Linked DNA regions of Coturnix japonica. The protein of the gene in region 2 interacts with the protein of the main gene of each other region in a biochemical or structural test. Links are inferred from orthologs where the notes say so. Each region holds a gene or a part of one and is shown on either strand. Other genes may lie near its edges.

What was found. The genes of interacting proteins can lie anywhere in the genome.
Region 1: of the proteins of SRPK2 (region 2) and RBM15, one has a biochemical effect on the other in vitro, tested with the Homo sapiens proteins (2 studies listed by BioGRID and IntAct). The link is inferred for Coturnix japonica from reciprocal best matches to the Homo sapiens genes SRPK2 and RBM15.

Annotation. Positions count from the first base shown.
Region 1 is NC_029541.1:1,765,555-1,769,863, reverse strand, and holds the start of RBM15 (RNA-binding protein 15), read right to left. Parts: upstream 2,890-4,309; 5' UTR 2,757-2,889; coding exon 1-2,756. UniProt on the Homo sapiens protein: RNA-binding protein that acts as a key regulator of N6-methyladenosine (m6A) methylation of RNAs, thereby regulating different processes, such as hematopoietic cell homeostasis, alternative splicing of mRNAs and X chromosome inactivation mediated by Xist RNA.
Region 2 is NC_029516.1:12,447,516-12,451,138, forward strand, and holds part of SRPK2 (SRSF protein kinase 2), read right to left. Parts: coding exon 3,553-3,623; intron 2,935-3,552; coding exon 2,446-2,934; intron 1-2,445. UniProt on the Homo sapiens protein: Serine/arginine-rich protein-specific kinase which specifically phosphorylates its substrates at serine residues located in regions rich in arginine/serine dipeptides, known as RS domains and is involved in the phosphorylation of SR splicing factors and the regulation of splicing.

The sequences.
Region 1 (4,309 bases), on a different chromosome or scaffold from region 2:
GATTTGGCCAACGCCTTGGCCGTGGAGTCCAGGAACTGCTGGGAGAAGTCGCAGGGCGGAAAGGCGTGCAGGACCCCGCTGTTCTCCTTGTCTTTGTTGCCCCCCACAGGGAGGCTGATCACCCCAGCAGCCTGCTTTTGCTTTAGATAAGAGACCAGATTCCTGAGCGGCCTCTGGGTGGAGGTGGTGGCCTCGCCAGCCCCGGCTGTGGAGCGGTTGTCTGATGTGCCGGGCACAGCCAAAAGGATGGCGTAACCATTGGGACCCGCCACCTTGATGCGGCGGTTCACCTCATCCAACTTGGGCTGGTCCAGACGAAGACGTTGGGTGATCTTGAGCTGAGCTACTTTCCCACCAGTCGCTCCTTCCACAAGGAGACTGCTGGCAACTCCGAGGTCCCCCTGAAGCAGGTGCATATTGGACGGGAAATTGCTGTTCTTCAGCAGAAGCATCCCCTGCCACGCCAAGCACAGCTTGGGGGCTCCCCCGGCCTGCGATGCTCCGTCCTGCTGCTGTTTCTGAGGTGGAGGTTTGAGGCGGGAGCCTCCACCGCCTCCCTCTGCAGCACGTTCATCCTTTTTGGCCGGGCTTTTGCACTCCTGTGCAGCAGCAGCAGAAGTGCGATGTTTCCGCTCCCTTTCAGCGGAATTCTTTCGGTCACGCTTTTCGTTCTGACCCCTCTCCAAGCTGCCCCTCCGTGACTCCCGGATGGGAGAGGGCCGCTCCAAGAGGAGCAAGCGAGACGATGAACGCTCCGGGTCGCTGCTGTAACGCTCCCTCCCCCCGACGAGCTCAGGGCTGCGGTCTGGTGGTGTGGTCGTGGTCAAGCAGTGACGCTTCCGAGAGGAAGAAGAGCGCTCGCTGTCCGGAGAGCGATCCAAGTGCCGGCCTCCGTCCTCAGCCAGCCTCCGTTTCCTAGGCTGATCCCTACTACTGCCCAACTCCCGCTCCCCTCGGTCCCGCTCTAAGGACCAACCATCCCGACGGCGTTCTAGGCTTTCCAGTGGGTCGTAGGCAGCTGCTCGGTTACTCCTGTCCCGTACAGGGGGTGGGGGTGGCACCCACTCTGTCTCGGGATAAAGGTCTCTATCACGGTCTCTATAGAGCAACGGTGGCGTCCTGTCCCGGGCACCCCGCAGAGGATCGGGTGGGGCCCCCCGGTGAGCCCCAAAAGCAGCCGCCTCCGCCACGAGCTCATAATGAGCAGGAGGGGGCAAAGGCAGGGGCTGCAGGTAGGGCTGCTGGTACCGATGCTCGGTATCCGCAAAGTCAACGCGGAGGCGGCGATCCGGCCCACCCAATGGAAAGCCACGCATGTGGGTGCAGGCCGCCTGCGCCGCGTCCAGGCTCTCATACTGGATGTAGGCCCATGAATCACCTTTGCGGTAATCAATGGTACGAATGGTGCCAAAACGGTCAAACTCCCTGGCCAAGGCGGCAAGGGGCACCCAAGGCCCGAGGCCACCCACCCAGAGCCTGGTAGTTGGAGTGGCTTTACCATACCCAATCTTGATAGGGTTACGCAGGAGCACCTTTCCCGACATGGCCAGCTTGGCTCGATGCGCCATGTCCAGATTCTCAAACTTAAGAAACCCATAAGTGCTAGTCTGCCCGCGCCCCGGCCTTTTGATGTCCACCTCAGTAATGACCCCAAAACGATCAAAAGCTCGACGTAAATCTGTCTCGCTCACGGTGATGTCCAGGTTGCCCAGGAACAACGTGCGGTTGGCTCTCTGGTCATCCTCAGGGCTGATCTCCTCCTCACTGGCAGCTCCAGCACCCCCTCCTCCTCCACGGAATCCCCCAGCAGCCGCCACGCTGGCCACCCTTTCCAGCCCATAGGCCGGCCGCACTCGCGCCTCATAAAAACCCCCATAGTCCCTCTCCCTCTCCAACTCCCTGGGCAAAGGGGGAGGGGGCGGCAAGCGGCCCAAAGCGAGCTGCTGCAGCCGGTAGTCCCGGTAACCCAACGCCCCTCCGCTGCCGGCGGGGGACAAAGCCCGCTGCGTCGCCCCAGCTGCGGGATGCCGTACAGCTGCCGCCGCCGCCGCCAGCCCCACGGCTGCCGTGCCGTAGGGTGACTCCTTGTCCAGCAGCGCCGGCGAACGGCTGCTCCTCCTCCTGCTGCTCCCTCCGCCGCTCCCCACGTAGACGGCCTCGATCTTCAGCGGCCGGTCGTACAGCACGAGGCGACCACGGGCGTGTTTAGCGGCTCGTGCATCTTCAGGCCGTCGGAAGTTAACGAAAGCCACACGTTCATCCGCAGCGCCGGTACCGGGCGGGAGGCGACTGATTTTAACACTCACATCTCCGAATCGTTTGAACTCATGGAACAGCCCGTCCTCCACCGCCTCGTCGCTCAGAGCCGAGCCCAGCTCGCTGATCTTCAGTGTCTTGTACTCCCCGCTGTCAGACGACGACGACTGGGCCGCAACCGTCCGGGACTCACCCCCGCGGCTGCTGCTGCTCCGTGACGGCTCCGTGCTCTTCCCGCCGTACCCGTGCCGCCCTCCCGTGCCCGTGGCCGCCCCGCTCTCGGTCCGTGCGGCCTTGTCCTGGTGCGGGCCCCGCCTCCCGCTGTTGTTATCGTTCGAAGCCGCCGCCGCCGCTTTGCCGCCGTTGGAGCCGCCGCCGGAGCCGCTGGGCTTCTTGCTGCTCCGCTCTCGCGTTGAGGAGGAGGATGAGGCCGAGTCCTCGCCGCCCCCTCCGCCCCGAGACCGCTTGGCTTTGGCGGGGGAGCGCTCCTTGCCTTTCATGGCGGTGCCCGGCGGGGCCGCCTCCCGCCCGGCCCTGCGCCCCGGCGGCCTCACCGACGGACCGACCGCCGCGCTCACGCATCCGCCGCCATCTTGGAAGCCGCGGCCGCCGCCGACCCCGCCCCCTCGGCGCCCATTGGCCGCTCGCAGCCTCACCCCACCCTCTCTCTCCCGCCGGGCGGAAATCCCGCCCCACCGCCCCGCCGATCCTCGTTCCTATTGGCTGAGGGAGATGTCTGTCTATGGGCCGGCCTCGCGCGCCGGGAAGAGCCGCCCCCCATCCGCCCCGCCCCGCTGTCTCATTGGATAGTTAGAAAGGGCGCGGCCTTCTGATTGGTCCAGCTCTCCTGTCACTAGGAGCGGCTCTGCCTTTTTCCCATTGGTCATTGGGCGAAACTCTCTCCTCCTTCCAATTGGTCCTTTCACCTGCCAGTTATCTCGCCCCTGCTCCCCATTGGTCCGCGGGTTCCCGTTGTCCCGCTCAAATTCTCGCGAGCAGCGCTTTACCCGCCCCCTTTTCCCATTGGTCACTGCCAACCTGGTCTGCCTTGTTCTGATTGGTTGAAGCCAATGCCACTCCTGCAGAAGCGCGGGATGCTGCCCACGCTCCGCTCTTCGTTTACCATTGGACGAGAAAATCTCCCTAAGCACCCGATTGGATGCGGGTAGGAGCTTGCGGATTGGCTAATATGGCTGTCAGTCAAGCGCGCTTTGATTTTGATTGGTCTCCTGGTGGGTGTTGGGGTTCATTAATTACATGGAGGGTGTTTGGGTTCATTATATGGGGGCTGATTGGGTTCATTAATTACGTGGGGGTGATTGGGTTCGTTAATTACCTGGGGGGTGATTGGGTTCCTTAATTACATGGGGGGTGATTGGGTTCGTTAATTACCTGGGGGTATTTGGGTTAATTACCTGGGGGTGTTTGGGTTCCTTAATTACATGGAGGGGTGTTGGTGTTCATTAATTACCTGGGGGGTGATTGGGTTCATTAATTACATGGGGGGTGTTTGGGTTAATTAATTACCTGGAGGGTTTGGGGGTTCATTATGGGGGGGGTGTTTGGGTTCATTATATGGGGGGTGATTGGGTTCATTAATTACATGGGGGATATTTGGGTTCATTAATTACCTGGGGGGTTTGGGGGTTCATTAATTACCTGGGGGGTGTTTGGGTTCATTATATGGGGGATATTTGGGTTCATTAATTACCTGGGGGGTGTTTGGGTTCATTATATGGGGGATATTTGGGTTCATTAATTACCTGGGGGGTATTTAGGTTCATTACCTGGGGGATGTTTGGGTTCATTAATTTACCTGGGGGATATTTGGGTTCATTAATTACCTGAGGGGTGTTTGGGTTCATTATATGGGGATATTTGGGTTCATTAATTTACCGGGGGGGTTTTGGGCGTTCATAATACCTGGGGGTATTTAGCGTTCATTACCTGGGGGGATGTTTGGGTTCATTAATTACCTGGGGGGTTTTGGGGTTTATTAATTACCTGGGGGGTATTTAGGTTCATTACCTGGGGGGTCTGGGGGTTTATTAAT
Region 2 (3,623 bases):
AGCATTTCTAATTTTCACTTCTGTGTGTCCCAGTTTTGTAAAACTGAGAAATATCACCTCCTCTTCTCACAGTCACACCATGACAATATACTTAGTAAACATTCAGACACTGGAATGAGGAGGAAAGTCATGACGAAATTAATAAATCTGTCCCTGAGAGCGTCTGGTCGCACAGTTATACACTCAACAAAGAATTAAATAAAGGTAAAAACTTGACAAAAAATAGTTGCTCATCCACTGAATGCAGATCAGCATTAGTTGAGAACATGTTACATAAGAACGTATAGCAATGGCTACATGGAGAGACACGCAAACAAAGTCTGCATCCATACATGAAATGAGCACTAAAGATACAGTGAAAAAGCAGCACCAGTTGAAATATTGAATGGCCTGCAACTGCCATACCGTCCTTCATTCTAATGTAGTTGAATTTGTCTTATCACTGTTTAAATTGTGCCATTCAGATGAACAACATTCAGCTTTTTCTCCTTCTGAGGAAGCGGTGAGCTATGGCTGAATTTACGGTCATTTTACTTTCTTTGCACACAAGAACTGTATATTGCTCCTGATGAGGTAACATCAAAGAGGAACGAAGTAGGCTTGTTTCTCCAGCTGTGGAGATAAGCTGATCTCTTGCTGACAACACCAGCTTTATGCTCTGGATGCATGAGGATTCTACACACCACCCCAGGAAAACAGCAGGAGAGGCCTTCTGCCTCTATATTGCCAGCAGTGAAATGGAAGAGGGGGTTCTGGTGATGGCAAGCTGAGCAACAGCCAGTTGTACACAGCACTGCCAGTGGGCGAGGGGAGGGCTCTCTCTACTCAATTGTATTTTATTGCATATTCCTTGAATATTTGCAGATTACCTTTTGTAGATTCTATAATAAACTGTGTGAAACACTTCAATAGCAAAAATCCTGCTGTTAAAAGGAAGCCAAGTTAAACAATCTTACACCACCTCTGGCCTTAAGTTATGTGAATAACGCGTACTTGCATATATCACCTTCCTTCTCTCTTTCCTGTGTAGATGACCTGCTAATGCAAATACTTTACAACAGTAACTTATTTAATACACTTTAGAACAAGTTCTAAATCAGAAAAAAAATCACAATTTTGCTTTCCTCTTAAAATTTGGGATGGTAGATTTACTGTAACAGAACAAGACTGCTTTCGTTTTGTGTTCCAAGTTGCATTGATCAAACTCTCACGTTGGAAAGTATGAATAAGCATCCAATTTACTTAGAGCATGCTTAGCAGAGCCACCGCCTTTAAGGACACTGCTACAATTCTTCCACAGAATCACAGAATTGTAGGGGTTGGAAGGGACCTCCAGAGATCATCGAGTCCAACCCCCCTGCCAAAGCAGGCTCCCTACACCACATCACACAGCTCGGCGTCCAGGCAGGTCTTGAATATCTCCAGAGAAGGAGACTCCACCACCTCCCTGGGCAGCCTGTTCCAGTGCTCCGTCACCCTCACTGTAAAGAAGTTCTTGCACACATTTGTGCAGAACTTCCTATGCTCCAGTTTCTGGCCATTTCCCCTTGTCCTGTCTCCACACACTGCTGAAAACAGTCTGGCCTCTCCACTGTGCCCCCCACACCTCAGATATTTATAGACCCGGATCAGGCCCCCATCAAAAAATAACACATTTGCTTTTCCTTGAAACTTGGTTATAGGAGGTCAAAGATAACCAGAATGGTTTGGGACCAAAATACCTGAAAAGTCTCCACTCCTTGATACCAGCCTTACTTTTTTTATTTTTTTCCTAAAACTCTTCTAAGATGAAACAGTAAATTTTAAATAATCATGAGGTTTTGCATTCAGATGACGTAATATTCAATAAGCAAAATGTTCACTGCAGGCAAAGCCATGAAGATTAAATCAGTGAGCAATGAAAAAAATGGTTCTCAGTAGCGGGCTGCAGCTGCAACCCAGTCCTAGCTATGACTAGTCTGACCTCATATCCCACTTTATGCCCAAGCCTGGGCAGTGCCAAGGAAAGCAAGGACATGGGAGCAGTCTGCACACTGCAGAGGAGCAGAGTTCAGAGGCTGGCACGTGGGCACCATCTTTACAGTGGGCACCCTTTAGAGCCGAGCAGGGAGTTAAAACTTCAGCTGAATGTGAAGAAAAGGTAACATCATTAAGTTCTGGTTCTACTGCTCAATCAAAGTAAAGGAAATGGTGTAATAGAGTCCTCCTCTGTTACTGAAATATGCTTTTATGCTACTGAAAAAAGTATGTGATGGCCTACTCAACAGATTTGGTACTGAATTTTCAAGTGAAAAAAAAAAACAACTTCTACACAGACATCACTGAACAAAGATAAAACACATACATAAGGTTTAATTCCAGCTCTCATTCTATAATAAGACATCACCTACAACTCTGAGACTCTTCAGGCATGGATGGCATGTGCCAGGCAAGAGTAGTACTTACTTTTTGGCAAATCCCCAGTGCTTGAGGCTGAAACTGTTCTGCTCCTGTCATGAGATGGGCTGCTCTCCTCTCTTTCTGTTACAGTTGATCCTTCAGAAACAGCAGAACCACAAGCTACAGACTCCAGAGCCCCAGAGAACACAGAAGCTGAAAATTCAGAGAACTGCGACTCGGGAATTTTGTGACGTCCATTTGGCAATTCACCATTAAACTGTTCATAAGAGCTGCTATAAGAGTAATCACTTTTTGCATTTGGCTCATCAAGATTATATTCCTCTGGATTTGGACATTCTTCCTCTTCGTCATCTTCATCTTCGATCTGTTGTTCCAACAGAAATGGGCCATTCACAATATGGCCATTTGTCTTAGGAGATTCTATCCACTTAGGGTCTGTAGGGTCATTGCTGACAAGTTCCTGCTCAACATCATCATCTTTTTCAGTGTTTTCTTTCTCTGTGTCTTCTTTTTCATCCTGATCTTCTGCTTCACCTGAAAAATTTTCATGAACAGCATATTAGATCATACATGAACATACCATCTTCAAAGCAAACACTCACAAATTAACTCTTCAGCAAGTACTCGACTTCCATCACAGCACACAAGGAAACACTGAGTATCACCAGAACACACAGAGACTTTAAAATCTAAGTTAAGGGCAAGAAAGGGAACTAATGGGATAGTTGGAAAAAAGAAAAAACAAAAGCAATGGGAATTGGTTCAGGATAGTTTAACTGAGGAAACAAGGAGAGATAAGGATGCTATGCCTAAGATCTACAAACTGTTCTGAAAGCAAGCACTACAGATCCTTAACTCAATCAACATCAAATCTGGATTCACCATAGAGGTAGGAATATTTATAGCTTGAGTAGAGCAAAAAAAATCAAACCAACCCAACACACACACACAAAAGAATAACACTTCTATCAACACTGAACCAGTTTATAAGAAAGCAATAGAAACGAGAAAGGAGTTGGACCTTAACAACTCTGCTCCAAACCACCTAAGTTAAAAAAGAATTTTAACATAAAATGTTTTAGTGAATAAGCTGCAATTACTTTCCCTTCTGAAACAGTAGATTCGAGGTCAAGAAAAGCAGATGACACTAACCATCATCATTTCCAGGTTCTTCATCTACGACATCCTCAAGATCAGCTGTTTTTAGTTTCACCTCTGGGTGG